Linked DNA regions of Mus musculus: region 1 is reported to be linked to region 2. The links are microRNA targets in miRTarBase. Many come from high-throughput screens and were not tested one by one. Region 2 holds a microRNA gene; the other region holds the end of a gene's coding sequence. Distances are from middle to middle.
What was found. The annotated mature microRNA mmu-miR-873a-5p reads GCAGGAACUUGUGAGUCUCCU and lies in region 2 at 8,255-8,275, opposite strand. An mRNA with a match to its seed (bases 2 to 7 or 8) in the 3' UTR can be bound and repressed. Matches are read on the target gene's strand: a 7mer-m8 pairs with bases 2 to 8, a 7mer-A1 pairs with bases 2 to 7 and ends in A, and an 8mer does both.

Region 1 (16,070 bases), 12 Mb from region 2:
CTACAACCTCAGAAATAATGTGAATTGGGCTCTTACAAATCCATTGACTCCTGTACTGTAGTGCAGATTTTAGAGAGATTCTCCCTCAACATCAATATCCCACAAAGATATTTCTGAGACCCACGAACATCTGCAACTTGCTCACTATAACGCCTTTAGCGTATGTCTTGAACTTGAGTCACCTACTTCCTGAGTGTAAGTTCTAAAATGCCTTGTAGGACACTGAAGTGTGTTCTGTACAGGGAGGAGTGTGTAATGGTGAGTAGAGGCAGAGAGGAGAACTGAGGAGGGTAAGTATTGTGTGCCTGACACTTCTTCGGAAGACGTGAATAAATGTCTACTAACTGGAGCTAGGGAACCAATGAATGGATAAAGTATATAATTCCACCAGAGTCCAACTTGGGAAGCCAGTGAATTTTGGGGGGAGGGTTACTCACTGGAATACATTAGAGGAACGGGATGACTAGTAAGGAGCCATTTCACTAACCAGCCTGCTGCGATCTGGGTAACAGCTCACTGAGACAGCAATTCTGGAGCTCTTTGTCTGACGGGCAGGCAGCTCCTCACCTCTAATCCTCCTCTCCCTAGCACTATTCAGTGGCCTTCTTTAACATGTAGCCTTCAGCTTTCCCAGATTTGTAAGCTCTGTTGACTTCCTGAGTCTCATAAGCATCCCTCCTGCTTTAGGAGGGAAGGTTCAACCAGGAGGAAATTGCTACACAATGGTGAGGGAAGCTTGCAGGTTCTACCTGATGGTGACTATTACTGCTGCGAGTGCGAGGCAAAGGCAGATGGCATTCTAGACCCTTGTTATAATGCCTATTGATGTTCCAGCCTTCCCAGGTTCAACAACACCATCACATGGAAAGAGCATGCTAGTCAATGATTGAAACTGATCTTGGCATAAACACCCACTTTGTCCTGGCACCATTTGGGCATACAGCACGAAACAAAACAAAGGAAAATGTCTCTTCTCAAAAACTAGCATTTTACTGTTTTGGTGATATTTGGAGTTCATCACTATCATTCATTATCAGCTATCAACCTTACTTCAGTTTGGCTGAGAGAAAAGCAGACTTCTGACTTCCCTTGAGGGTCTGCCTTCAATCCTCAGGCAGAAGCCAGAAAGAAAATCTTAAGTTCAGACCTTCTGCTACATTGTATGTCTTGACAAGAAGAGCTGAAATTATGGATTTATGGTCCAGGATTTTGTTTCCATTCTGATTACCAAAGTAAGATAGCCAAAGGTGGGTTCTGCTGGAGCCTCTCTGCCTTGTTTTGGTCTTTAAGGGTCTGAGTAACCCCAGGCCAAGGCTAGATAAAACAATAGGCTCACCTGCCACTGTCTCTTCCAGTGTCAAATCCAAGCTTTCCTGCGTGTAGAAATTCACAGATCTTTAATTTTGTACTATCTGCTGTCCTGGACTCACTCGAAACTCTTGTGTAAGGTTACTTTCATGTAGCCCTAAGTTTGGTGGAATCACATGAAAATTTAAAATACTTTAGCAGGCAGTGAGTGGAATTGCTACTATAATTCTTAAAGCACAGAACAGACTTAATGAGGCCAAGGAACATTTCTTGATGTCCAGAGAAATTGGTTTTAAAAAAAAGGCACCCAGTTATGAACTTGTTTAAAAAGCTCTCAGATGGAAATCTTGGAGCAGACTGCCACCTTCAGGATAACTAACAAATTAACTCACTGAACACGGTTTTAGCTTCTACATAACCCATCTCCAGAGACAGGTTTCATAAGCAACAGTGAGAACTTTACCCCTCTAGTGTTTTCTCTATTATGAAACAGTTTAATTAGTAATAGTCCTTAAAAAAATGAAAACCCCTCCCCCTAATTTTTTTCTTTAAGTTGGTTAGACACAACTAATCTATTCACCTAACCAACCAGGCTAAAATCTTTAATAGATTTCACAACCACAGTCTGGGAAAAATATTAATTCGAAAACTTATTTTCTTGCTGGTGGGCTTTAAAAACTATGGGCCAATCACATTGAATACTTTCGGAAACGTAAAAGAAGGAAGAGACAAAGGGTGGGTGGAAGAGAAGGGGAAAGGAAGATAGAATGTGTACCGTAGATTTTTTTTTTCTTTTTCCAAATACAGCGTTAAGTTACACCAGGGTTTGCCAAGATTACAGAGACTCGAGAGGCAGTAGAGCTGAGAAATGGGGCTGAGAAGAGCACGGTGATTCAGCGCTAATGGAGGAGTATGTCAAGTTAGTACTACTTATGAGAGAAGGGGAAGGAAAGCCTAAAACTCATAGCACTAGGGACAAAGTGGCAGGAAAATGGTATGTCAAGATAGTGAAAGAGTTAAAACAAACAAACAAAACCAACACAAAATTGGCTCAGAAAGCTCCAGGCAAGGGACAGGAAAATAAGGGCTGTTAGAATGGAATTGCGGCTGAGAACAAATATTCTCAATTTCTCAAAAGCATGGGCAGGTAAATTCAGAACCTTGACCCTGCGCTCTGCCCTCTGAAGAGGTTGGAAGATCTCCGCTCCACACTGGCTACTCGGGATTTTGCAACCGTGGGATCACAGCAGCTCATCCTTAAAGACTCCGGAGTCGCCGGCCGGCGTCCCTGACAACGCCCAGATGTCTGCGCATGCGCCTGTGCGGAAGGGTGGGCGGGGCGGAGTCCAGGGTGCGTCCTCCCGGCCACCAGGGGGCGACGAGCGCGTCCTCGGCGTTTTACCGGTGCCTGGCCCCTGGTGTGCGCATGCTCCGTGCGTACAGAGGTCACCGGTGCCGGTGGCTTCTACACGTGCGTAGTGAACTAAGGGCATCATGATTTAGAGATGGGGGCTCGCGTGACCCGCGCCTTAAGGAACTTCAACGTGGAGAAGCGAGCGGAGCGAGAGATCAGCAAGAGGAAGCCCTCCATGGCACCCAAGCACCCTTCTACCCGCGACCTCCTGCAGGAGCACCGGAGTCGTGAGTGCAGTCCCTCCCAGGCCTCCGGTGACATTGAGGTCGTCCCCGCGCGGGCCCCGGGTGGTGGCGGCTGGAAGGAATCCCGGAGCCCAAGGCAGCCCGCGCTCTCTCCCGGCGTCTGCGCAGGCTGCACGCAGACTCTCGTCCAAGTGTTTGCCCCAAGATGTCCAGATGATTTTTTTTTTTAATATTGTACATGTTTACGAGTTTAGAGATTTTTTTCCTTAAAAAAAAAAAAAAAAGATACTATGGCTTATTTTCTTTCCTTAGAGTATCCAGAAATCGAAGAAGTTGTTTCTAAAAAAGATAACAAGCTGCTGTCATTGCTAAGAGATGTATATGTCGATTCCAAAGATCCGGTGCCTGCCTTGCCGGTAATGTATACGTTAATTAAGTTGGCAGTTTATTTTGGAGGTCTGAGAAAGTGATCAAGAAAAAGAGGGCAACGAGTGAAAGTGCAAAGTGTGTGTGTGTGTGTGTGTGTGTGTGTGTGTGTGTGTGTAGAGGGGAGCAGTCAGTGTAGAGCACAGACAGCTAGACACAGGCAGGCCTGGACCCCCTTCGATACTTAGGGTATACTTAGGGTATACTTAGGGTATACTTAGGGTATACCGAAAGACCTGTGAAGGGATTGATTGGATGGACCTGTGTGAATTGTTTATTGCAGAAGTTGTAGGGTTGGGTTACGGCATTTTTTAGTGGTTTTCTGAGTGACCAGTATGACTTTGAGAGCTATTTCATATTCTGTAAATTAAGATGCTCTTAATGACAACCTCAGTGTTTGGGGGTTTGGAGTGGGGGCACGTTCATAGTTTTGAGGATGTGTCCCAACAGGATATGTAATATTATATGTAAGTTAATATAGCATGCTGGAATGATGGGTATGTCTCCTGTGTCAGGTGTAAGTGTTGTGTGTAGTGATTAAAACAGTAATTACTCTCTGAGGCCCATGGTACGTTGCGGACCACAGACCATTCCGTGGATGAGCAGCTGTACAACTATAATGTAATTACGGGCTGGGGAAGATGAAAGGCTGCTTCTGAGGAAGTGACATTTAACCCTGGGCCTGGAGTGCAAATTGAAGTTGCAGCCTGGAAGGCAAAGAATTAGATTAAATGAAGAGGAAGTACCAGCCACAGCCCTCAAAGTTTTTTTTGTTTTTTGTTTTCATTACAAAACTTTTTTGTATTATCTAATACTGAGCAAAAGACTGCAATTACAGCTACTTCTATAATATTCATAATTTAATAGTGACAGTAGGATTTAGTTAGTACCAGATTTTCACACAATAAAGATACATTGATTGTTGGCCATAGTGTATTATTTTTAAGCTCAGCAATACTTGGAAGGAGGGTTTCCCATTTATGCTAAGTATGAGGTGCATGTGAGTGTGTGTGTGTGTGTGTGTGTGTGTGTGTGTGTGATTTTTGTGTAAAGATACTTATTTGATATTATACTTGGTATTTAGTCTGTTGAAGTGACCAGTTTAACCTCTTCAAATAGGTGCCAGTCACCTAACTATAATTTATTTACTAATTTTCTGACTTCTGTTTATAGACTTATTGGTTGTTTGGTTTTTGTTTCATCTTTTTCTTTTTCTTTTTCTTTTTCTTTTTCTTTTTCTTTTTCTTTTTTTTTTTTTTCCAAGATAGGGTTTCTCTGTGTAGCTCTGGCTGTCCTGGAACTCACTCTGTAGACCAGGTGTTTTTTGTTTCTTACCACTAGACCCATACTATCTCAATAAAGTGGTATGACACATCCTGGTGACTGTTATAACCTAAAAAAGCTTCATATCTTCTCAAATCACTTCCTTCTAAATGAACTTGGGAATCAGATTTTTAGTGTCTTTAGTAAGCCTTGTTTAGATTTGATGATAATTAGATTGTATTCACAGTTTAACTAAAGAGAGGTAAAGATCTTCTAATTTTTTTAGAAGGTCTTTGAGGAAGGAAGAAAGATGTTATTATTAAGTAGAAATTTTCTTCCCCTCATTTTAATGCACAGGAAAATAATTGATTTTTATTTTCTAGCTATTGACATAACTAGTTAACATATCTGCTAGGAAGTAGTTTTTCAGTTTTTTTGTTTTCTTAATATTTTATATTTATGTGGAATTTGTAAATTTTTTCTGCCTTTCCACTAAATGAAAAGAGGATGTTAAATTTTATTCATCTTGATGTCAAGTGGAAAAGCCAGATCTGTATGTATGGAGGGAAAGGCAGATGTACCTGGGTTTGGAAGATGAGAGACACTTTGAGATTTAGGAAGTGGAAGAGGAAAAGAGTGAGTGCCTGAGACTCAAGTGGGAACAAGAAGGTGGAGTGAGTGAGTGTGGGAGACTGCTTAGGTACGGTATGCAACAAGGGGAGACTGAAGGGGACTTGGGGTAATGGCTGCATCATGAAGAACATGCCAAGAAACTTTAGATTTATCAGAAGGGCTTTGGGGAGTCATTGAAAAAAAGGCGGGGGGCGGGGAGAGAAATACCTTGATATTGGCCTAGAAGTAGTATAGGCAGGAATAGCTGGAAATGAAGAGAAAGGGAATCCTTGGCACGGCTTAGGTAGTAAGCACAGAGACTGAGGTTAAGCTCAGGTGGGTACTCACGAGATCCACCTGCCTGTGGATGCTTATGCACAGACCGAGTCTCAAAATCTGTACGTAAGTGAATGTGTGTGCACCCTTGCACGTGCGTGCATGTGTGCATGCATGGGCTACCTTTTGCTGTGATAACACTGACCAGAAGCGTCTTACACATCTAGGTAATAGTTTATCAGTGAGGGAAGGCTGGAAGACAGTTCTCAAGTAAGCTGTTAACAGCGCCGTTAGAGTGCTGCTCATTCGAAACAGGTGTAATGCGTATCTAATCAGTTCTCATTCTTCTCATATACAAGTTGAGGTTTCTTTAACTTAGCTTCTTAGGACCTGATCTCATTTTGGAATATATGTATGTATATTATGAAGCATCTTTGTGGGAGGATCCAAATTTAATTATGAAGTTTGCTTTTATTTCATATACAACTCAAGCTTGAAGGCAGGTTGATGAGTCATTCTTAGTGTACCTACATTTTGACTGCTGATCATCACAGGAAGTTAGATGTGGCACTTTCTACTTGGGACATGATGGTGGAGTTCAGAAGTTTTGGATTTTAGAGCACTTTGGGTCTCACATTTTTGGGTCAGTAATGCTCAGTGGCTATAATTTCATGGTGTGCATGCAGTTGCAATTTTATAGAGGCTTTCTAGCGAGCTATAGTTAGGAAAAGAGTGGTACAGTGCAAAATCAAAGTTTGAGGAGGTATATATGTGTTTATTTGAAAAGAAATGGTTTAGACTTAAGAGTTGTGGAAGATGTAAATATTTTATCCTAAACCCTTTTCTTTGGTACTAGGTAAAAGTTGAACCACGACAAGAACCAAAGGAATTCAGACTGCCGATAGGAAATCACTTTGATAAGAATATCACGGACATTCCCAAAGGCAAGATTACTGTTGTAGAGGCATTGACCCTTCTCAATAACCATAAACTCTCTCCAGAAACATGGACTGCTGAGAAAATCGCTCAAGAGTACTATTTAGAACTGAAGGATGTAAATTCCCTTCTCAAATATTTTGTTACTTTTGAAGTCAAAATCTTACCTCCAGAAGACAGGAAAGCAATACAATCAAAATGAAGAAAATCACGAAACAACTTCCCCTGTATGTGTTCCCAAGCTCCGCGCCCTTGTTTTGCGTGTATTAAATTATACAAGTTCCTGTGAGTTGAGGGCCATAACGTTTGAAAGCTCTTTGACCTCCTCAGGATTGTTCATATAATTTTTTAAAAATTTATGTATGTGTAGTTCCTGGGTATATGTTAGCTGTATTGATCATGTGGCCCAAATGAGTCAATATTAAATTCCACTTTCTAGTTTAAGTTGGTTTGTTCTTTGTAGTAGACACTGAAAGCAAGAGTCCTCCTGACTCCTATAAGACTGGCATTGTGTTAGGGACAGATAATCAGCAGGGAAACACAGTGACTATATTTCCCAAGTGAAGAAAGAGAGAAAACTGAGTGAAAAGAAAGAAAAATACATATTACTACTCTAGAGATGAAAAATCCATGAGGATCTTTTTAATGTTTTAAATTTGTTTTAAATATTAAATAATTTTATAGAAGAATTAGTGGTATCTGACATGCTGGCTGTCTCTCTTTTGACAAATAGAAATAGGTAACTTGAAAAGGTTTCTAAGAGCGAGGCAATACTTAAAGATTATTTGAACAAATAGCTTCTTTAATTTAGAAGTGAGAGAAGTATGAAAGAACAGCTAAAAATAAGAGAATCCAATTTGATAACCAAACATTCATACCTGTTTTTATTTTAGGAGGAAAAATAACCAGTAGAAGTATAGAATAAATCCCTGAAGGGACCTAGAAAGTTACCAATTCATTCACTTAAGCTCTGGAATGTTACATTCCAGTAATAGAATCTCAGATAAGGTGAGATGAGTTTGGCTCATTCTGGCATGTTATACTTGTGGGTTCTTGCCCATATTGTTTGACCTCTCTGAAATTGAATTTCTATAAAAGTATACCTGCCTTATATAAATTCCAGGACAACAATGAAGATAAATGACAAAAGACCAGGCAAATACAAAGTCTTGTAGTTAAAATGGGTGTCTACAAAACACACAACAGAGTTACCTGTAGTTTATGATGCAAGGAAGCCAGAATTTAGGTTCTCGAAATCCTAGTAGTATTTTTACTTATTCTGTAAAATGAAATACATTTCAAAAGGACAGAATGGAGTTGGGGTAACTGGGCTCGTCCATATTCTTTCACGGGAACAGACAGACATACTTGCCTCGAGATTCCACGGGAAAAGATGTGGAAGATGAGAAGAATCCAGCGATGATGGAGGGAGGCAGATGGAACAGCAAAGATGGGAGGTGACTGGAGAGTTTGTCAGCTTCTTCATATCTAGTTCCAGTGAAGAAACTATCCCTACTTATATGTGATTCAATACAGAAGTTTAAGGGAACCTACTAATTCCAATCATTGCTGATTATGGTGGAAAGTGCCGTCAAAACCATCCTCCATTAATTCAAAATGAATATGTGAATCAGCAGTACTGACTCAGGTTTCCTGGGTGGCTAGCAGATGTAAATATGGTTTCTTAACTGGTATCACACAATAAAATCCTTCCATTTTGCACATTAGCCCACTTTTCTGGTTTTTTCTTTCATGTAGAACACCAATTGTAACGTCACACAAGGTGCATGAAATTTACATTTGGAAAAGCGGAGTTTAGATGTCGGTTCCTTAACTAGCTGTGTCTGACTTGTCTACAACTAAAGTGCAGTTTATATACTGGACACTAACCTAGGTGCCTTACATGTCTTAGCTTTGTTAGCATTGTGGTAACAAGCGTGAAGTTAAGAATGCTTTCCTGGGAAAGTTGCAGCCCGGGAAACTTCAGTAACTACAAAGATTAGTGGATACTGAAGAGTAAATAGAATATTTTGTACTGACTACTACACTGGATTGCCTGTATGGGAGTTGTAAGAATTATGTGAATTGATACACGGGTTACCTGAGCACAAAGGGCCAAAACTTCTCAAATGTCTGCTTCTGTAAGTCCTTTGTAGAGCTCTGGGCTAATAGATGACTAAACGCTCTCTGCTATGAGAGACTGGATAGCAAGATTAAAATCCCTGAATAAATGGATTCTAGATCAAAGATGCTCTAAAACTGACCAGTGACTGGTATTGGGGTCTCACATTTATTTTGAAAAGTGAGGAATGGGAAACTGAATTTGAAGGAATGGAATTGAATAAGGAGGAGAGGAGAAAAAAACTAGATTTGGCTTTTGTAAAAATGAGAGCTGAGAGAGCTGTTCATGAAGAAGCCTGCAGCAGAAGAGTGGGTGGTTTGGGTAAAGTTCTACTCTAAAGAGATAGGCTATCCAAACTTAGGCATACCAGCAAAACCAACCACTTAGTGTCAAGACACACATAGATACACTCAGGTAAGCTCACCCAACCACAAAGACTGTCTCAAAGCCATTTGATATAACATCTTAGCTTTACCTTTTACTTTTGGAGTGGGTTGGTGTTTGAGGTAATATCTTACTGTGTAGGCCAAGCTGTCCTCAAACTCTTTAACCCAGCTGCAGCACCCCTCCCCCCCCATCCCCCAGTGCTGTCCTTAGCTCCAGTATGTTATCATTTAGTGCCTCATCACTCTGAAAGAGCTGTGTGTTTGCTCAGGAATGAACATCCTTCTTTCCATATTTACTCAGTGCACTTAAACACTCATGATCTTTGATCTGAATCTCTATATGATAAATAGCTATTTAATACAGAGCTTTTTAGTGATTAATTCCAGAGACCCTGTCTCCCCCAATGGTTAGTTACTGGGTAGTGTTAACAATAAAGCTAGTCATGGGTTCAGCCTGATCATCTTCATTCACAGTTGCCATAACTGCCCAGAATAACACTGCTTTTCATTGCAATGATTGGCTTTTATTGGTAGAATTGGAATGTGTCTGTCTGATATAAGCTTGAGATAACCCAGGTACATTCTGGTTTGGATGAAGTCATTTTTGCTCTGACTACTTTATAAACTACTGTCATTCTAACTTATGGGAATTCACCAACTCCTGATGTCATCCAGGACTGCTTTTGTCAATCAGTCCCCAATAAACTGCACTGCAATCCTAGATCTGCCTGCCTACTTCTTAAACAAAAAGTGTGTGTGTGTGTGTGTGTGTGGACACATGCTAGAGCCTGTATGTGGAGGTAAGAGGACAAAAGGTGAGTTGATTCTCTCCTTCCACCATGTAGTCCCAGGTACTGAACTCATGTCAGGTATGGTGCCAGTGCAGAACCAGCAGAGCCATCTTCCTCATCCTGGGTTTTGTTTCTTGTTACATAATGCTATGGCACCTCATCCACCAAGACAGTTGTTACAAAACAGTCATTGAAGCAGTCGACAGCAAATGAGTAATGGAATCCTGAAGTGGTACCTGGATCCATGAGGGAAGGGAGGCTCATGTGTTAGATGCTCCATGAGTATGGCCACATCCTCAACTTGCTACAGTGGGGAAGGAAGGCTGACATCTTGCTATTGGCAGGGAGAGAGCTGTTGCTGTGAGCAGTTTGGGTGGCCACTGATGCCCATGTAGTTGTCGTAAAGAATGTAGTGATGTTAGCAAAACTTACAGCTTAGAAAAAGCTTTGTGTCTAATATATCAACCCTCTGCCCTGTCTCTTCTCGGGGTCTTTCCTGCCAGAAATAGTGGAAGATCAGAATGCTAAGCTAGAAACCCTGGCTTACTTGGCTCCACTGAGGGGTTTGGAAGAGCAAGAGAAAACAAGGTTGATCAGATTTGAGCAGTCATAATCAGAAGGGAATGTAAAGCATCTGGATCCTTGAAAGGCGTTAAGGAAGAACCCTTATACCTGTGGCACTTGCTGTTTTCACTGTCCATTAATTCAGTACAAGGAAGAGGTCCTGAATATTCAGGTGAAGAGCCTTCTGTGTTAGAAACCAGGACATTAGTACACTAGTGCAGGATTTCTAAGTGTTATAAACACTTTTAGCCAACTGCTTGGGGAGTTGAGTGCCTGGAGCTGAGACTGGGACGTGGGAGGGGATAGTGTATCTATGGCAGAGAAGTGAGCAGTGTTACTGTCCAGCCAAGCCCTTATCTGGTTGACCGTCGAATGCTTGCCATTTCCTGGGAAATCATTTTCTTACAGATCGGATCTCCTTAAATAGAGAGAGGCTTGCCTAAAGGAGACAGATCCACCAGGACAGTCGGCCCCTTCCCCATGGAAAAGCTCCAACAAAGCCTAAGGTATTCTGTGGGAAATGGGCACACAAAAGGCTCCTGTGGTTTGATGGCCTAGTAAATCAGATTTTTTTCTTTTAGTGCCCTGGAAGGGGGGAAACATACCAAATGCCTCTCAAGAACGGTACAGCTCCTTTCTCGTCTTCCTCAGCTCAGTTGGTGGATAAGGGTCCTTCTAATGTAATCAAGGCTATTGCTTACCTGAGAGAGAGGAAGTCTGGTCAGGACATAAAAGAGAAGAGACAAAAAAATACTAAAAAGATGAGGGCTGAGCCAAGAAAGCAGAGGCAGAATGGTTTGCTTGCAAACAAGTACCATCTTGGCAGTCCTGCGGAAGAAGGTCAAGCCCTCAACCAACTTTTCTTTCTGCTTCTTCGGGGAAGGTGAGGCATTTCCTTCCTACAGCATAACCAACTGCTGGAACGGTTAGCCCATAGTAAAGGCCGTAGGCAGCAATCGGTGGTCTCACATCAGACTCATTGTTTACTACTAGTCCTTCAAGAATAGGTCTAATAGATACACGTACTAAATACACTGATGTGGTGCCACTCAGAATGGTCTCTGGGGCCCTGTGCAGTAATTGATGGAATCTAGGAAGCAGTGCCCTCCCAGCTATGTTTTTGTTCAATCTCCCAGTCTCTAAAAGCATACAGAAGACAAACTCTCTATTAGGAAAGACATTACAGACCTCTATGGGGGGGAGTTTTTAACCCAAACTTCAGGCAGTAAAGGCAGTATTAATCAAGAAAAGTAGGACTCTGTTAGCCTCCCCACAATCAAGCAGCTAATAAATACCAGACAATATAAGTTTCTAGGTGACATGCTGCAATTATAGAGCCCATATAAGAATTATAAGGCATTCTGGATTCTGCCTGCCATCACTATAACAGTTCAGTATAGGTGGTAAAAAGGCAGGACAGAAATTTTAAAATGATGTTGACTGCAGGGAGCTGTGATGATGTTTCCTAGTCATGTTACTATACCTAATATGAACTAAAGTAGTAGAAATCAACAACAACAACAAAATCATGCTCATGCTTTTGTTAATGCTGTCTGAACTTAACTAATGCTCCTCTCAACATTGCCTCGCAAGCACGTACAGCGTCAGTTTGTCTTCTCTTGGGTAAGAATACAGTGGCCACCCTAGCTATTGCCTTAGGGATATTGACACCATCCAATTGTCAAGTCATATCATGATGGCTTTGGACTGCTCTGTTTTCATTACATATAGACGATACCATATTAACAGGAGAGGATTATTGGGGGACATGTTAGAATGATTACATTATCGCTTATGCACAAGGGGGACTGTCAACCCCTAGAGTCATGGCCCTGAACCATCTGTGAAGTCCTTACAGGTGCTCTGGTTGGATAAAACCTGTTTGCGTCCAGACACAGGGAGATGCAAAGGGCACACTTCCCCATTCCCCATACCATTAAACATGCACCGGCTTTTGAGGGGCTCTCGCTATTTGTGTGCTTTGCTTTCTAGTGTAATTTTCTGCCCATGTAACACTATCTGCAGATTAAGAAAGGGGCCACATAAGATTGGAATATTTCCCAGCAGAAAGCATTTGAAAAGACATGCTTCGGTAACTAGCATGTTGTTAAGAAAACACATTGTTAGTTTTTTTTTTTTAATCTTAAATGTTTCTGTTTCTTTTCTATTTATAATTTCAAACTTTTATAAAGTATACTAAGAATTTCATTAAAAAAAAAGATATACTTCAATGTGCAAATGCAGTTAAAAGTCACTAGATGGCATGAGTTGGACTCTGGCCTCAATAGCACAGACGAAAGTTCTGAAGTTTTGATCACTTTCTGGAAAGGAACTGAAACTAGATACAGTCTTTTTACAACAGCAGTTTCCAGCAGTGTGTGTGTGTGTGTGTGTGTGTGTGGCGGGGGTCTCTACAGCAGTCATAATGCAGACTGACCTGCCCGGCCTCAATCTTCTTTCCTGTAAACTCCTGCTATAAATGAGTTATATGAATGTTTACAGCAATGTGTATTACAGTAGTCTATTAATTTGCAAGTTGTACCCAAGGAGCTGAAGGGATCTGCAATCCTATAGGAGGAACAACAATTTGAACTACCCAGTACCCTCCAGAGCTTGTGTCTCTAGCTGCATATGTAGCAGAGGATGGCCTAGTTGGCCATTAATGGAAGGAGAGGCCCTTGGTCTTATGAAGATTATATGCCCCAGTACAGGGGAATGCCAGGGCCAGGAAGCGGGAGTGGGTGGGTTGGGGAAAAGCGGGGAGTATAGGAGACATTCAGAGAGGAAACTAGGAAAGCAGATAGCATTTGAAATGTAAATAAAGAAAATATCTAATAAAAAATTTTGCAAGTTGTGCTCCCTTTGAAAGTGCCAGCCCAGGGCTATGGTATAGCAAGTGCATGAAAGGGGAGCTGACAGACTTCAAACCGTTTGGTAGCAACATGGACTGGCAGAGGAAACTTGAGTATCTATCTGCAGCTGTAGCACAGTCTGCCATTTGTCCTGTCTGGTTTGAGGCAGGTGAATATCAGATCAGCTACCATGCAGAACTAATAGGTACTATGGCTGGTGATGGCTCATAAGCCAGGGACATTTATTGCTTGTGGAGGGCCTGAGAACTTACGCTTGAGGGTGGGACTGTGGCATATGGAACAACCATGACATAGTAGGAGACTTTTCTAGAAAAAGAGTGAGTTAACCTGCTGATGGTAGTTAAAGTCTTGAAATGTAAATGATATGGATACTCACATCATGTTGACGTGACTTCAGCTTATTTCACAATATATCCTCTTTAGGATCAGGCCCAAAAACATGGTGTATTATGGTTCTTTTTCTGCCCTGTATAACCAAGCAGATGAGCCAGTGAAGTGAAAGAGAAAAAACAAACAAACAAACAAACAAAACATTTTGAAACCTTAAAGCAACAAACACTGGTCCCATTAAGTAAACCTACTTTGGCGGGCTGTGTGGATGCTCTTGGAGAAGTATTAGTCAAATGGCTGTCACAGACTTACAAGTCAGACCTGTGACCTTGTGGTATTCCAGGGACAGTGCCAAAATCCCAAATGGGTTTAGGGCAATGTAGAAGAGGAGAGAGTTCATAAGCCAGATAGGAAGACGCTATGCATGGGTTTAGCTTTTTCTGGGTCCAGCCACCTCCAGTCTTGATGGCTATGATTGCCCTATGATCCTCCTGGGAGTGTTGCTGGCTGGTTTTCCATGTCACTTCACAGCACACTAAAGTCAAAAATCCTTTGAGTGTTATGGAGATTTGTGGCCTTGACCCTGTACCTAGAAAAGACTTGATTGTTGGAGGTTAGCTTAAGGTAAGTGCCTTTGCTGGGCAGTGGTGGCGCATGCCTTTAATCCCAGCACTTGGGAAGCAGAGGCAGGTGGAGGTCTGAGTTCAAGGCCAGCATGGTCTACAAAGTGAGTTCCAGGACATCCAGAGAAACCCTGTCTCGAAAAATAAACAAACAAACAAACAAACAAAAAGGTAAGTGCCTTCTGGCTTTGGTGATTAGGAAGAGCCTGCCCATTTTTCTTTTTTTTTTTTTTTAATTTTTAAATTTTAAACTCTGGATGGTGATTCTCTATTATGAAGGACATCATGCTCATATGGAGCATTTGGAGACAACTTTTTCTTAATGTTCACAATTTTCCAACAGCATATTAAGGCCCAATAAAATTGCAAACTTTGCAATCCTGAATATCTGTCTTTTTTCTTTTCCTTTTTCTTTTTCTTTTAGTTTTTTTCGAGAGAGTTTCTCTGTATAGCCCTGGCTGTCCTGAAACTCACTCTGTAGACCAGGCTGGCCTCTAACTCAGAAATCCGATTGCCTCTGCCTCCCAAGTGCTGGGATTAAAGCCGTGCGCCACCACCGCCCGGCTTATCTGCCATTTTTAAAAACTAGTTCTCATATACTAGGACCAAATTATTGTGGAACAAACTATGTCATGAATATAACAGAAGTATAGTAGAAGAACTCAAGTTTTAGAACAGAATCCCAAAAGTTCTGTCATTTTCAGTGCATTGATATTCTGAAATATGTATTAAGTAGGGACAAAGTTCTTCCTCTGCTTCCTGTGAGGATAAGAGGCACAGAGAAGGCAAGGCTGCTATCCTAGTTTGCTTCTCTGTTGCTGTGATAAAACACTGACCCAAATCAACGTGAGGAGGAAAGAGTTTATTACACATTCCAGATTGCAGTCTATTGTCAGGGGAAGGCAGGCCAAGAGCACAAGTGGCAAACTGGATGCAGGAATTGAGCAGGAAGCATCAAGGATGCTGCCTACTTGGTCACGTTCAGGCTCATGTTCAGCTCTCTTTCTTTTTCTTTTTCTTTTTAATAGTCCTTCCTCTTTTTTTTTTTTTTACTTTGCTTTCTTTCTTTCTTTTTTTTTTAATTAGAAATTTTCCTCGTTTACATTTTCAATGCTATCCCAAAGGTCCCCCATACCCACCCCCCCAATCCCCTACCCACCCACTCCCCCTTTTTGGCCCTGGCGTTCCGCTGTACTGGGGCATATAAAGTTTGCAAGTCCAATGGGCCTCTTTTTGCAGTGATGGCCTACTAGGCCATCTTTTGATACATATGCAGCTAAAGACAAGAGCTCCCGGGTACTGGTTAGTTCATATTGTTGTTCCACATATAGGGTTGCAGTTCCCTTTAGCTCCTTGGGTAATTTCTCTAGCTCCTCCATTGGGGGCCGTGTGACCCGTCCAATAGCTGACTGTGATCATCCACCTCTGTGTTTGCTAGGGCCCGGCATAGTCTCACAAGAGACAGCTATATCTGGGTCCTTTCAGCAAAATCTTGCTAGTGTATGCAATGGTGTCAGCATTTGGAAGCTGATTATGGGATGGATCCCTGCATATGGCAATCACTAGATGGTCCATCCTTTCGTCACAGCTCCAAATTTTGTCTCTGTAACTCCTTCCATGGGTGTTTTGTTCCCATTTCTTTTTTTTTCTTCCCATTTTTTATTAGGTATTTAGCTCATTTACATTTCCAATGCTATACCAAAAGTCCCCCATACCCACCCACCCCCACTCCCCTACCCACCCACTCCCCCTTTTTGGCCCTGGTGTTCCCCTGTACTGGGGCATATAAAGTTTGCGGGTCCAATGGGCCTCTCTTTCCAGTGATGGCCGACTAGGCCATCTTTTGATACATATGCAGCTAGAGTCAAGAGCTCCAGGGTACTGGTTAGTTCATAATGTTGTTCCACCTATAGGGTTGCAGATCCCTTTAGCTCCTTGGCTACTTTCTCTAGCTCCTCCAT
Region 2 (16,070 bases):
AACATAATAATGAAAAGAAAATTTGGGAGTACAAAGATGTCTCCCCTCCCCTCCCCTCCCCTCCCCTCCCCTCCCCTCCCCTCCCCTCCCCTCTCCTCTCCTCCCCTCTCCTCTCCTCTCCTCTCCTCTCCTCTCCTCTCCTCTCCTCTCCTCTTTTCTCCTCTCCTCTCCTCTTTTCTCCTCTCCTCTCCTCTTTTCTCCTCTCTTCTCCTCTCCTCCACTCCCCTCCCCTCCCCTCCCCTCCTCTGCTCTCTTCTCTGCTCTCCTCTTCTTTTGTTCTTTCCTTCTTTTTCTGTTTTTGTTGTTGTTGTTGTTATTGTTTTGTTTTTTACATTTCCAGGAATTAGTTCATCACTGAATTAATACAGGGCCGAAATCTGCTTACTAGTTTAGCTTTCCAAGAGCTGTGCAGCTTGCTTCTTATGTAACCCAGGACCATATACCCTGGAGTGGCCCCAATTGCAGTGAGCTAGACTGTCACACATTAAACTTAAATTGAGAAAATGTCCCATAGCCATGGCCCAGAGGAATTTAATGACACAATTTGTCAGTTGATTATTTCCCTTCTCAGGTGACTCTAGTTTTTCACACGTTGGCAAAACTATCACGGTGGTGGATGTGATGTGACTGTGGATGGGATCCATATTCTTGTGTTGACATTTCGCTCAGAACAAATCAACCCCTTCTCCCATAAGTGGATTTTTGGTCAGGATATTTAAACAGAGAAGCAGACCTGAAACTAGAACAAAGGCTAAGATATATTGAATGTTCTTCAAGGAAATTCTAAATAGCTTTCATACAATATTCTTTTAAAATTATTATAGCAGCTTGTGCCCTTAATACATTTTTGTTCAGTTGTTGTCAGCTCTATTAGTTTTAATTGACTAGCCTTTTTAAATGTTCACCCTGACTGAGAAACATTATAATGGAATTTCACATCAACAGAATCAAGCACTGAGCATATTTAGGGGTAGCTGATGTCAACAAAACCACAGTGAACATATATGGGTTAGATGTTTATTACTGGATGCAAATCTTTAGAAAAATAAACAGATCAGACAGATACATCTAATGTTTGCTGAGTACACTCTGGTTCAGTCAGTATTTCCCTGTGTTCCTTATATTTAAAAAATCCTTGGTGACAAGAATGAAATATTGCAGTCTCTATGAAAATTAAACAAATGACTATAATTGAAACAGCCATATTATATGGCTCTCATATCTCTAATCTCAGAACTTAGGAGGCTAAGGTAGCACCCAGCTATGAGCTAGACTCTATTCGCGTCTATATAGTAAGGTTCAAGCCACCTTGGGAGATATAATAAAGATATTTCAACAGTAACTCAATAAATTAAAATAGATTATTTTTGCTCCACTATTTTATGGGTTCTCAAACATTTCATCCTAACCATTAATGTATAATTCCATTCCCAGCTTTGGTCTTCTCTTATTATCCCATGCCTGACAGTGGTACATATTCAGGATCTCATGCCAATAATAATAATAATAATAATAATAATAATAATAATAAATAGCTTACCTTTGCTGTATCCTATGGCTGATCATCAGTGACCTATAAATTATTTTTGTCACTTAATTCATGTACATATCTGAAATATCTTTGCATTAGTTATATTTCTTTCTTAAGGGAGTTTAGAGGTCTGGTGGGGTTGGGGGTGAGAGGGTGGGGACATCCTAGAGAAAACAGGGGGTCAGGGAAGAGGTGTGGGATCTGAAACAGTTTGAGGGTAGACTTGGAGGGGAATAAACTCTGGAGTATAAAAAATAGGATTAAACAAAAATTTTAATAAGTGAAAAAAAAAACCCTATCTCTAAACATCTTCTGAAACACTGTAATATTCTTGCAGTTGATTACTCCATTCGTACATGTCTATTTCTTTTTTATTTATTTGTTTATTTATTTTTATTAGATATTTTCTTTATGTACATTTCAAATGCTATCCCGAAAGTTCCCTATACCCAACCCCCGTCCTGCTCCCCTACCCACCCACTCCTGCTTCTTGGCCCTGGCGTTCCCCTGTACTGGGGCATATAAAGTTTGCAATACCAAGGGGCCTCTCTTCCCAGTGATGGCCGACTAGGCCATCTTCTGCTACATATGCAGCTAGAGACACGAGCTCTGGGGTTACTGGTTAGTTCATATTGTAGTTCCACCTATAGGGTTGCAGACCCCTTTAGCTCCTTGAGTACTTTCTCTAGCTCCTCCACTGGGAGCCCTGTGTTCCATCCAATAGCTGACTGTGAGCATCCACTTCTGTGTTTGCCAGGCACTGGCATAGCCTCATATGAGACAGCTATAACAGGGTCCCTTCGGCAAAATCTTTCTGGCATATGCAATAGTGTCTGGGTTTGGTGGCTGATTTTTTCTAAGCTGCTGCCCGCATTGTAGTGACCTAAGAAAAAGAACTATATAAACCTAAGCCTGGGTATGAATTGTCCTCATCTCCCTTAAAGGCAGTCTGATAGCATCTCACACACCACGTTACCCCACCATTTGCAGCAAATTGTACATATTCCATTTGTTAATTATTTCTCATATAAGGGAATAAAATCTCAGAGAGAAAATTATGCTGTTTCCTCAGTGTTCTTAATGGATACAGGCATGCCTATAAAAAATATGGGGTACCTGATGAGAATGGATTAAAAAATTACAAAAATAAAATACTATTTTGTCTTTTTTTTTTGTCTCAGGTTACTTTGTTTAAAAGTATTTCTCCTTTTGAAGACTCTCAGAACGTTTCCTTATAAGATAGAGTGTGTGGAGGGCAGATGGCTCAGTATGCATAAACATACATATGAGGCTTTTGGGTCTTATTCTCAGAACTCAACTAAAGCTGTACATGGTTACATGGTACCATATGTTTGTAATCTAATGCTATAATAGCCTGAGGCTGTCCATTGAACTTCATATGCAAAGTGAGGCTCACACATGTACCAATGCAAAAATATGTATGCACAGATATTATATACAAATAAGTAAAGTAATTTTAAAAGGGAAAATGGTAGATTGTGTCCAGCATATACTATTATAATACTATGCTTAACGAATCTGAGAAATTAATTATAAGGGTAATTAGCCAGCTACATCACAGCTGTTGCCAAAATTTGATCAGAAAAATATTCTGATAGGCATGAAATAGTGATTATCAGGTGATCAATTTATTCTCAGTTTTGCTACTATTGGTACATTATTATGAGGCATTGCATAATTGATTCTAAAGTGTGTTAAATATTTTAAAAAGTGACTTAAAAAGAGAAAATATTTAGGACTATTTAAAGGATGATTACAGATGTTCAGCTATCTGCCTAGCTATCTGACTTTAAATGCAATCAACATTTAATTTGGAAATTTTAAAAGTAGACAATTTCCAAATTATAAAATTGCTTTGAAAGTGACACACTATCAAGTTGGTATTTAGAACTTAAAATGCATTTTGCAAAAGAGCAATGTGAAAAACAAGATAAATATTAATATGTAGAGCAAATGGCACCACTGGTGTCAAGAAGTTGTCAGCAATCAAATATAAAATTCACCCAATGTAGCTGTATTTGAAGTAGTATGTACAATAGTAGAGGCTATTATCAATTCTGGAGTTATTAAAAAATTCACTGTGAGACATGCTATCATGGATTCATAGCTATGTAAACTTGTGCTGGTTTTTAAGGAGGGAGGATAATTGCCCCAAGTTTCCCAGGAAGTAACACTATTAAAGAGGGTAGAAGCAGCATATACCAGCTGATATGGGGCCCCCAGCACATATACAGTAGAGGACTGCCAGGTCTGGACTCAGACAGAGAAGATGCACCTAACTCTCAAGGAACTTGAGGCCTCAGGGAGTAGGGAGGTCAGTGGGCTGGAAAGGGTGGGGACATCATCTTGGAGATTGAGGGGGGGCAATGTGGACCAGTCTGAGGGTGGACCTACAGGGAGATATAAAGTCATGACTGTAAAAAAAATCTTAAAGAATTAAATAAAAATAAAAATAAATAAAAATAGGATACTGGTAGATCAGGCAACTCAAGCAGTCTGTAAGGACTGGGGTCACTGTTCATTGTTAGCAACTAGACTCTCCAAATAAGTTCTAGTTAAACATCAACATAAACATAAGCATGCTATTGGATTGAGGAATCTAGAAGGTAAGGGCAAAGAACAGCAGAAAATTCATCAGGAAAATGATTAAGCTGGAAAACTAACAGTAATAATTCTAGATTCATTTAAAGATAGTCTTGTCAGAGTATGTGATTAGGTTGGTAAATAGAGGCTGAAAGAAGGGAATCTAGATAAAACTGTACTTTGAAATAAAACAGGAATCTTTTTATTTTGGATATTAATATAGTCTTTTTTAGAAAGAATGATTGGAAGAGCCAATTAATTCAGAGCAAAGTGAGAATCCTTGTGTTGATGTGCTTAATTAAAGACAGGACTTCTTTGCAGCTGAGGACAAAGACTATGGAAACCTTAATTAGATTCCCAGTTTCAGGAGGAGAACATGCCCCTGGATTTTTGGCATAAGATAGATAGTGCTCAAATAACTATTTTATTCCAATTTTAAAACCATTGTGGAAGAGTTGGGAAAAGGTTTGAAGGCTCAGACTTAGATGGGAACGCCACAGGAAGACCTACAGAGTCAAAAAAAAAAAAAAAAAAAAAAAAAAAAACCTGGACCCCAGGGAGCTCTCAGAATCTGAGCTACCAAGCAGAGAGCATACACAGGCTGGAACAAGGTCTCCCAGCACATATGTAGCAGACTGGCAGCTCAGTCTTCATGGCTGCCCAGATTGGCCTCAGTGGGAGAGGATGCACCTCACTTGGAAGAGACTTGATCTGCCAGTGTCTGGGAATACCCAAGTGGTCACACACTCTCAGAGTAAAAGCGTAGGGTGGGTAAAGGGGATGGACTTGGTGAAGGAGGGACCTCGAGGGGAGCAGCATTTGGGATGTAATCAAATAAATAAATAATTTTTTAAAAATGAATAAAAACCAGTGTTTTATTGTTTGCTTTGTTTTTGTTTGTGATTTTTAATGGGAAATATTTATGTTTCGTCTCTAAATAATTAGCTACAACTGGTCACATAATAATAGAATCATTTTCAAAGCCTAAAAGTGGTTCGTAAAGATGTGCATTTCTGGATAGACTTATATTGGTAAAACCATTCCATATAAACCCATTGGTTTTCTCATGCTCTCTTGGCTATTATAAAGACTTCCTCTCTGACATGTTTCTTTTCTCAGCTCTGGTACACACTTCCAAGATTAAGTCTTATAAGATAAGAGTCTGTTTACTGATATTCCCACTATTCCCACATCAGATATTGTAGTTCCTAAGTGACAAATATTTTTAATTGTATTATTATCCCATTCTCTTTTTTTCATATTACTAGAACTTGTTTTTCTAAAGTCAATGTTGTCCAAAAGTCATGTTTTCTAATAGAGTATGTTTTGATGGACTAGAGAAGAGTAAGAGCATGCCAATTCATTAGGAAAATGTGATCTATGATTTTGGATGCTGTGATGCTGTGATGCCCATATTTATTGGAGCTCTTAAAATTGCTTGTTTTAAAAATCTCATTTGAGTGAGAGTCACAGGGGAAACAATAGGTTTAGGAAAACAGAAGAACAGCATCAAAAGAAAGACTCACATAAATGCTGCTTTATATTGTCTTAATTTCATTTTAATTTTAATAATTGTAAAATTGATTCTATAACTCATTTTGCTTGAGCACAGTGTTTGTGTGTATGTGCATTGGGTATGTCTGCATATTTGCCTGTTTGACCACTTGTGTGTGTGCACAGGTGAGCATGAATATTGAGAGCTGAAATGAAGCTATACACCTTCCTTCAGTATTTTCCTCTTTATTTCCTATCCTGCTGAACTTGGAAGTCCCTGTCAATGACCCAAAGACCTAGCTAGCTGACCATGTGATATTCTGTCTCTAGATGCCAGCTATAGGAATTGCCAGTAGGTTACCACATCTTCCAAGTTTCTATGTATGTTTTGGGGATCTAAATTAATCTTAATACTTGCACACAAAACAATTTACCCACCAAGCCATCACCCAATATGCTGATTTTTAGTTATTAAGTAATACAAAACCACAGCCAACATGTTGTATGTTTCTAATAGACCACAGAGAGTGCCACAGATATAAGAAATATAGAACAAAGCAAAAACTTGTTTAAAAATATTGAAAGGTGATATGAAATTTAGAAATGTATACCAAATCATACTAGAATGACTAACATTGTAAAAAAATTAGATCATGTTTCAATGAATTTTGATCAATTGTAATAAGATTCATTTTGCTTTGATAATATTCAAATTTATAAAAAGATTAGTTTAAATAAAATGATACTGATTACCCAGATCCATCAGCTAATATATTATGGGCACTTTTTTGCTGTTTCCCTTTCTTTCCTCTTAAGACTGATGGTTTAGTAATTAGTAAAAATCACACACATAAAAAAGGAATGCACAATATCATGATATTCCTACACATCCCAAGGCACTCAAATTTTGGTGTAGCAAATAAAGAAAGTGGTAACTACCCAAAGGAGACAAATATCAGTAGCCATGGAAAAATTAGACAGTTTAATAACATAAGTAGTTATGATTACAATCAAGGTATAATCTAGAGTCAGAGAAAATTAATGATTTGTTATTATGAGAGAAGATGAGATATACCCATGAGATTTTACTTAGGTGAATTGAAACAAATGAAATTCATTACATTTAAGTAGAGCACAGAAAGAAACAAATTAGGGGGAAAGTTAAATATTATACAATTGAAAGTTAATTTAAGATAATTATAGATAAGTGAATTATATATATATATATATATATATATATATATATATATATATATATATATATATATATATAAATCAGGATCTCACACATATGATGTGTACCTTATAGTGAAAAGAGCACAAAGTTATACAGATAATTTTCTGTTATCTTTTCTAATCCAGAAGATCCCTGAACAGTTGAAATAAATAGACATATATATTTAATATTATTTTCTATGTCTATGAAATAAGGGTGAATATTTTCTCTGTGCTTATCATAGACAAGGGTTTGATTAATTTATTAGATAAGACAATTTTCTTGTCACTGGATGATGAAACTATAAGCCTTTGGTGGTAGCATTTGTCCACCCTTAGTTTCCAGAGTTAAAACCAACTGAAGGAAGCCTCAAAACTGAGTTCCATGTTGGATTTTAACTGAAGTCAATAATAAAAATGATTTTGCTTTTTTAAAGTTCACAGTATAACCATAAAAATATAAATAATAAGTATTTTGAAAGCAAATTTTAGAATGATGAATAAACAGCAAGGGGGCCTTTGCCACTCACTATTACAGAATATTTATATAAATGTATACTTTTCATAAGTTTTAGGAAGAAATCTGAAAAGCTTTATAAATGACCTTGTTATATTAAGTAGTAAAACTCTTCCAAAATGTGTAGCATAATTCCTACATATACTCTTTCCTCAATATTTGCATTTACCACCATGCAAAAAAAAGAATTATGACCCTACAAATGTAGATTAACTTTGTGCAGTTTTAGGAAAGTCTTCATCAAGAAGTTTAAGAATTGGTTTGCACTATAAATAGTGGCCCTAAATACATATGTTGAATATTCCTGAAATAAAACGGCAATTACGTGATTTGGTATTACACATGTACATAAACATAAGAAATGATATTTTAGAAAAACATGTTTATATGTCTATAAAGTTTTGAATGAACATAATTAGAGAAACTGGAGAACACTAATATATGTAGACATTAATATTATTCTTTTCCTACTAGTTCTACTAAACCTTTCATATAAATATTGGCATTCACATTACTGAATTATTCATGAAAAGTAAATAAAAAAAGAAATAATTCAAATTGGCTCTGATAAAATGCTCAGTTTACAAACATATTATTAGGACAGAGTTTAAGAAGAAATGCCTTTCCTTGACCAAATTCAAATCCAGAAAAAATGATCTAATAAAAATGGTATCCACCGTGAGTTGTGAAGGTAATTTTTTTTCTAGGTAAAAGTCCTCTTGTTTTCAAAAATAATTTTCTGTGAGTAACTCAAATATAAAGTTGGGTTCCAGAGCAACTTAAACAGTGGCAAACACCAGTCACAGAGTGCTGTCCAAGGCAAGGTGGTAGAAACCAGTAGGAAGATTTGTGGGTGTTCCCGGGAACTTGTCAGTCTCCTGTCTATTTTCAATAGGAGACTCACAAGTTCCTGCAAATGCACACAAACTGATTTTAAGCTGGTGCTCGTTGTTCCTAAGGAGATGCTGACATTTCCATCAATTCAAAGGAGTACTGTAATCAGTTCCTGCCGTAGTGTCTGTCATGTCTTAGCCGGGTTTAGCGCATCATTGTAATCAAGTACAGTGAAAATCCAGGACACTAGTCACTCCTGTTCCTCTGGTCAACAGATCTTAGCTCAGGAACTTCTATGCTCGGCCTTATTGCTGTCTTGAGGATACAGTGATGAATACTTTCTTGACTTTATGGCACTGCTGTTGGCCATCTGTCCTGATTATTTTCAATAATGCCTGAGCCGATCCATCAGTCTTCATTGTTCAGTGAGGCAGTGCATTTCAGGACAATGTGGTGGTTTTGACTTCATGGAGAAATGGAAATAACTCAGGGATAGAAACTTAGAGATCTGAATTCTAGTTCCCCGACTCCCCACAGACAAATTCCAGCAAAATTGCCATGATGAATCTTTTACAGTTTGGGGGTTTCTGTTTTCTTATTCCTAGAGGTACTATTTGGGCTATTCTACTTTACTTTTTATTATTTGTATAAATATATTTTGCAAAATAATTACTGGAAACACTCAGGAATAAATCATACATACACAAATATATTGCTAGAAATTTTGTCTTCTCTTGCAAGTCCAGAAAACAAATAAAATGCATTTGGCTTAACAATCTTTATTAACTTGAAATACATAATTACTAGCATCTCACATTATTAGCTAAAATGTAAGTTATTATTATGATATAAAAAGTATGTTGCCTTTTTACTGTCTTCTAATAGTGAACTATCTTCCTACGGTTTAATTTCCCTATCAGATCTTAGACTGTAGATGTATTATTAAGATAACAGACCTATTGTTGACCAAGACTTTATGACAAATATCCAGGTGAAGATTTGCTCAGGACCACATGTCACTGTGGACAGTTTTTCTAGAAAATTGAAGTTATATGAAATTATACTTCCACTGGTTAGTTCTTTCCATAAAAATATCACACAGTCATGTGTAAAAGTGCCCCCATCGATATATACACAGATTCTAATAGCATACCATGTTGTACATGTTCAATGTGGTAAAATGTTATGAATGAATCTGTTTGACACAAAATACATATTAGCAGGATAAATCTATGTTGCTATGTCCATGACATAATAAGACACAGTCTGTCAATGCTTTAACAAAGAATATTACCTTTAAATCCCTTTTATAGAGTGTATAGAATTAATTACAACATTTCAGTAGGATTTTTGGTTTTGTTGTTATTGTTGTTGTTGCTTTGTTATGATTTGCTTTCTAGTGTACGCATGGCATGCCACTTCCATTCTGTATCAAGGGACTGAGAATGTCTTCACATAAATCAGACACATTATTCAAAGCAGAAACACACTTATATCAGGGACAGGAACTGCCATGGGATTCCACTCATAACTAGATGTGGTAGAAAGCAACAGTGAAGACATGTTAGCAAGGTGATGTTGAAGTGGTTATCCAGAGAAGGAACGGGCCAGATGAAAATATGATATGGTAGAGAGTCTTGAAAAGAGAGAGGGGAGGGGAAGAGAGAGGAAAGAAGGACGTGAGTGAGTGAAAGAGGGAGGGAGGAAGGGAGAAGAGAAAAAGAGAGAGAGAGAGGGAGAGAAAGAGAGGGAGGGAGAGAGAGAGAGAGAGAGAGAGAGAGAGAGAGAGAGAGAGAGAGAGAGAGAGAGAGAGAGAGAATTCCAAAGGTTGTTATTACAATGAGAAATTGAGAAACTTTGCAGTTTTCCCTCCCTCTACTCCTTTCAATTCTTTCTACCTCCACTTCCATCTGGATCCACTCCCTTTATGTCTTTCATTTGAAAAGAAGAGGTTTATTTTTTTTAATTTTTACTGAGTATTTATTTCATTTACATTTCCAATGCTATCCCAAAAGTCCCCCACACGCTCCCCCACCCCTCCCCCACCCACCCACTCCCACTTATTGGCCCTGGAGTTCCCCTGTACTGAGGCATATAAAGTTTGCGCGACCAACGGGCCTCACTTTCCAATGATGGCCAACTAGGCCATCGATAACAAGACATCACAAAGTAAATAAGATAAAATAAAAAAAAAAAAAAACTTCGTATCAAAATTGGACACAGAAAGCCAACAGAAGGAAAAGATGACAAGAGCAGGCACAAATATCAGAGAGTCACTCATTCACACATACAAGATTTTCATAAAAATACTAACCTGAAAGCTATAACACATATTTGAAGGCCTTGAGAAGACACATAGAGGCCTTTTGCTTTTTCCTTCAGTCTCTGTGAACTCATATGAGTTTTGCTCCTGTGAGTTAGAGGGTCTTGTTATCCTGATGTCCTTTATCCTCTCTGGCTATGCTCTTAACTGCAGGATTCTCTGAGCCTTAAGGGAAGGGATTTGATGGAGACATCCTTTTTAGAACTGTGAGTTTCATCTCTACAGGACAGTAGATATCTTTCTTGCTTTCTTCTCTGAGTAGGAGTTAGAATTAACTCCACTTAATCACTCCTTTGATACATGGCTATAGCAAAATGAGTGTATCTCACTGTGCATGGCACTATCCATGTTTTGTACACAAAAAGTTGAGGCAATACTAAGTTCTGAGTCTTTATAGGTTATGTCATTAAATCCTGCTTCCAAAAATTAAAAGTGGGAAGGGTTAGAGAAGCAGCTTGTCAGTTAAAGGCATTTGCTTCAGCATGAGGATGAGGATTTAAAGCTCAGCATTCCTGTAACAAGCCAAAGATCCAGAACAGGCCTGTAACCCCAGCTCCACAGTGGGCCAGGAAGACAGTTGTGCTTATTAGCTTCCAGTTTCATAACAGTTTCATAAGCCCAGCTTCAGGGAAAGACTCTGGCTAAAAGGAATAATCAAATTGTAGACACAGGACACTTATAGGACACCTATATTCTTTTCCAGCCTCCCTGCTGTATACAAATGCATGGAAGCATGTCAATTTATATAATTTTATACCCATAGAGATATATAAAAATATTTTTAATTTTCTGAGGAACTGCCAGACTGATTTCCAGAGTGGTTGTACAGCTTGCAATACCTCTCCTGGGAATATATCCAGAAGATGTCCCAAATGGTAAGAAGGACACATGCTCCACTATGTTCATAGCAGCCTTATTTATAATAGCCAGAAGCTGGAAAGAACCCAGATGCCCCACAACAGAGGAATGGATACAGAAAATGTGGTACATTTACACAATGGAGTATTACTCAGCTATTAAAAAGATTGAATTTATGAAATTCCTAGGCAAATGGATGTACTGGAGGGCATCATCCTGAGTGAGGTAACCCAATAACAAAGGAACTCACACAATATGTACTCACTGATAAGTGGATATTAGCCCAGAAACTTAGGATACCCAAGATATAAGATACAATTTGCTAAACGCATGAAACTCAAGAAGAACGAAGATCAAAGTGTGGACACTTTGCCCCTTCTTAGAATTGGAAACAAAACACCCATGGAAGGAGTTACAGAGACAAAGTTTGGAGCTGTGACAAAAGGATGGACCATCTAGAGACCGCCATATCCAGGCATCCATCCTATAATCAGTTTCCAAACACTGACACCATTGCACACACTAGCAAGATTTTGCTGAAAGGACCCAGATAGAGCTGTCTCCTGTGAGACTATGTCGGGGCCTAGCAAACACAGAAGTGGATGCTCACAGTCAGCTATTGGATGGATCACAGGGTCCCCAATGGAGGAGCTAGAGAAAGTACCCAAGGAGCTAAAGGGATCTGCAACCCTATAGGTGGAACAACATTATGAACTAACCAGTACCCCGGAGCTCTTGACTCTAGCTGCATATGTATCAAAAGATGGCCTAGTTGGCCATCACTGGAAAGAGAGGCCCACTGGACTTGCAAACTTTATATGCCCCAGTACAGGGGAATGCCAGGGCCAAAAAGTGGGAGTGGGTGGGTAGGGGGTTGGGGCGGGGGGAGGGTATGGGCGACTTTTGGGATAGCATTGGAAATGTAAATGAGGAAAATACCTAATAAAATATTTAAAAATATTTTTAAAATAAAAAGATAAATACCAACATATAAAAATTATCTATTATAAAGCTTATTTGAAACTAAATTAAAATTCCAATTTAAGTTTTAAGATTGCTTAAAACAACCTATACAGATTAATAGTAGATCAAAACTTTCTCCAAGGAATAATCATGGTGGAGGCAGAGGGAATGCACAATTTTGTCAATTAATTTCTGTACATTCTTCTCCATCTAATATGCCATCTCTGATGTTGAAGAGTATATCAGATCTATAGTTTATATAAATGATAAATTAGAAAGTCAGAGAATCTTTATAGAAATGTTTTTCACAGAAGTAAATTAAATGCAAAATCTGTATGATACAATCTTTACCCTTATAGTTTTTGCATTAAAAGTTTGGCTTAGGGCCCTTGGCAGCCTGCTATCTCAGGGGGACTTCCATTCTTTGCCTCTCCCTCCACCTTCATCAGAAGTGAGACTTCAGAACCAAACCTAAAGGAACATTTTGTCCTCTGAGAGGCTCCACTCAGAGGCTGACTCAGACAGATGTAGACACCCACAGCCAGATGTGGATGGAGCTTGGGGACTCTTGTGGAAGACTAGAAGGAAGGATTAAGGGCCCCAATGAGGATAGGAATTCCATAGGAAGACTGACAGAGTCAACTCTACCTGGACCCTTGTGGCTCTCAGATCTGAACCACCAACCAAAAATCATACACAAAGACTGGACCCAGGCCTCCCTGCTCATATATAGCATAAGTGCAGCTTGCTCTTCTGGTGGGTCCCAAACTACTGAAAGTAGGGCTGTCCCAAAGGCTGTGTCCTGTAAGTAGGACATGTTCTTCTAGCTGGCCTGCCTTGTCTGGCCTCAGTGAGACCAGAAGCACCAATCCTTGCAGAGAATTGAAGTTCTAGGTTGGGGTGATACCAGGGGGACCTCCTCACCCACTCAGAGGAGAAGGGGAGAAAAGATCAGGGAAGGATTCTTCGAGGTGTGACCCGGTCAATTAACATGATATAAAGTGGATAAGTAAAATCTGAAATAAAATAAAATAAAAGAAAATTAGCATAGGACTGGGCATGATAGTGTATAACTTTAATTATAGCACCCAAGAAGTACAGTCAGGTGGATCTCTGTGAGTTCCAGGCCAGCCTTGTCTATAAAATGAGTTCCAAGACAGCCAGGGCTGTTATACAGAGAAACCCTGTCTCAAAAACAAAACAAATCAAAACAAGAAAAGAAAACAAAAATGTTTAGTTTGTGAGTAAAATGCACATAACAGGTTCACATGTGTGAAAGAATGTTTAAGAGAAAAATTAAATATAAAATAATGGTATAATCCAAGAAGGGATCTACAGTCGGAGTGAGTTGGTCATCCATTAGGTACTCTGTATGTGCATTCAATGTGTTTAAATTGAGTTTCATTTCTGTATTTTCAAATAATGTTACGAATGAAGCTGTGACTGTCTCATACTGGTTTGCAGCATTATTGAGGCTAAAAAATGGAAGACAGTATAAATTGGATGTCAGAGCTCTGGTGCTAAATTTATACATTAATGCTGAAACCTTTAATATGGAAATGAATTCCTAAGAAAAATCTCTGCAGAATATCATTCAAATTATACCTAACTGACTACAATTATCAAATAGTGATGCTATCATCACCGTCAGAAACTGTGGCATCTCAAGACTGACTGGGTTTTTCTTTTCCCCTAGGAAACTATTTCAGAGTGAACAAGAAATGTTATTTACAATGATGACACATCACACTATTTCTGTATTTCTTAATAAGGGACATCACTTTTGACACCATTATCACTGTTTGACAATTAACTTTTTGCAATTTTTCATTACAGAAATGTATTATCTAGAGAATACTCATAGAATATGTTAGCCCATAGTGAGGAAAATAACTAGAAATGATACAATAATGTACGTATTTCTTAGGCACAAGTCAACTGCTCACAGATAATACAAATGCTGTAAAGAATTTGTAGAAGCTGGATGTATCATTTTGAAGTTTTATAGTCTAAAATTCTTCCATTTTACCATGCTTTTTATGTAATTACTCCTTTTATTGATAAACATTTTATACGATTTTATACTAGTTTAAGAACATAATCTTGAAAAAACAAAAATAGATTTCAGGAAATATCAAACTTATATTTTACTTAAATTTTTCTTTACATTATTAACTTACATGATCTATAAGAATGGGAGGAATGGTTGAAATAAATCTGAGTTCAAAAAGTATTCTTTATGCTTAACTATAATCACACATCTGTCAAAATATTTTTATTGGATACCAGGAAAAGAGTCATATTCTTTTTTAATATTTATTTTTATTGTTTTATTTATTGTTTTGGTCTGTGTGTGTGTGTGTGTGTGTGTGTGTGTGTGTGCGTGTTTGAGAGGTGGGCAGAAGAGGGTATCAGATATCCTGGAGCTGGTATTACAGGTAGGTATCAGCAGATTCAGCCATATTGGACGAGCAGCAAGCACTCTCACTCCCTAAGCCATGTTTCCAGCTGTAGAGTAATAGTAGCCTGAGTTCAAAGAAGTGAGGTTGTAAATCATTGTTCCACACTTTCCACAATAACTGGGGCTATTCAAAAAAGTTATGTAGGCAGCCTATGAATATACTGTTGGCGTATTAATTTACTTATTTACAGAGAATATCTATAAAAAAATCTTTAATATTAGTTTGTAACTACTAAAACTTTCAACTTTCCTTGTCTATACTGAACACCTATATACAAAAGCAACACATTAAGGATATAGAACCATGTGTCACTATTAATAATCATTTTTAAAACCAAAAATCTATATGTATAGCTTAGAATTAGCAGAAAACTAATATGTAAAAAAAAAAAGACATGTCAAAGAAAAATATGCCATTCCTCAGCATATAGAAAAGCAGCAATAATGGTGTCCCTAAAATCATTTTTAGATTAGTTTAAATGTGGAAATAACATTATGATTGTGCAACAGGGACAGGTATAATTAAAACTCAACATCACATATTTAGAAATTAAATGATTTTTGTGGAAGCTTCTTTGAGCAAAAAGAGTTTTAACCATTTATAACATCCAAACATTGGCTGCACTGACAGCAGGGCCTTATTTAAAATACTCAATGCACTCTGGAAGCATCTTTTATCTGGAGAAACCTTTTCTACTGTCAATCTTTAATAACAAAAACAATTTAGAAGCACACATGGTGAATGGGAAAATATTTCTTTATATCCCCTCTTCTCTACCCAATCCAACAGTCACTTTAAGAGTAAGCATATTTAGTATTAAGCATCTAGAATATTCCCCATTAGTTTGATAATTATTTTATATTGCAACATTAGTAGGGACATATTAACCACTGAATTCTGGAAATTATTTTTGATGCTTCTCAAGCATGAAGTTCACAGTGTCATAAAAATTGGTTTTGGTGGGTTGATATTACTCCATGTCATAAATTCACTATAGTATTTAATCACTCCTATATGCGTGTATATCTTATGTCTAACGGCTCCACATGCTGTAGTCCTACAATGAACATATGCAATGAACATATTTTACTGATTCTGCTTAGTTCTATAAACTGTTTATTTAATCAAAAGTCATAGGTTTTATTTTTTTATTATTTGTCTGTTTCTTTTTTAAATTGCTAGAAATTGACAAATTGACATAGTGCACTTCCATTTGAAGATAATTCTAGCAATCATTTGTCTGTCCCCTTGACAATATTGCATAGTTAT

Region 1: the mRNA of Ndufaf4 is a reported target of mmu-miR-873a-5p. Seed matches in the 3' UTR shown: 7mer-m8 at 6,700-6,706 and 7mer-m8 at 6,790-6,796.

What each region holds. Positions count from the first base shown.
Region 1 is chr4:24,895,354-24,911,423 of GRCm38, forward strand. It overlaps Ndufaf4 (NADH:ubiquinone oxidoreductase complex assembly factor 4), which reads left to right and starts at 2,730. Exons shown (of 3, transcript NM_026742.4): 1 at 2,730-2,949; 2 at 3,220-3,323; 3 at 6,341-9,648. The coding sequence starts at 2,814. The coding sequence ends at 6,622. It overlaps Gm46848 (a long non-coding RNA gene), which reads right to left and starts at 2,769. Exons shown (of 3, transcript XR_001784261.2): 1 at 1,337-2,769.
Region 2 is chr4:36,660,302-36,676,371 of GRCm38, forward strand. It overlaps Mir873a (microRNA 873a), which reads right to left and starts at 8,285; the gene lies at 8,209-8,285. The region is part of intron 2 of Lingo2 (leucine rich repeat and Ig domain containing 2); the gene reads right to left. It overlaps Mir873b (microRNA 873b), which reads left to right and starts at 8,209; the gene lies at 8,209-8,285.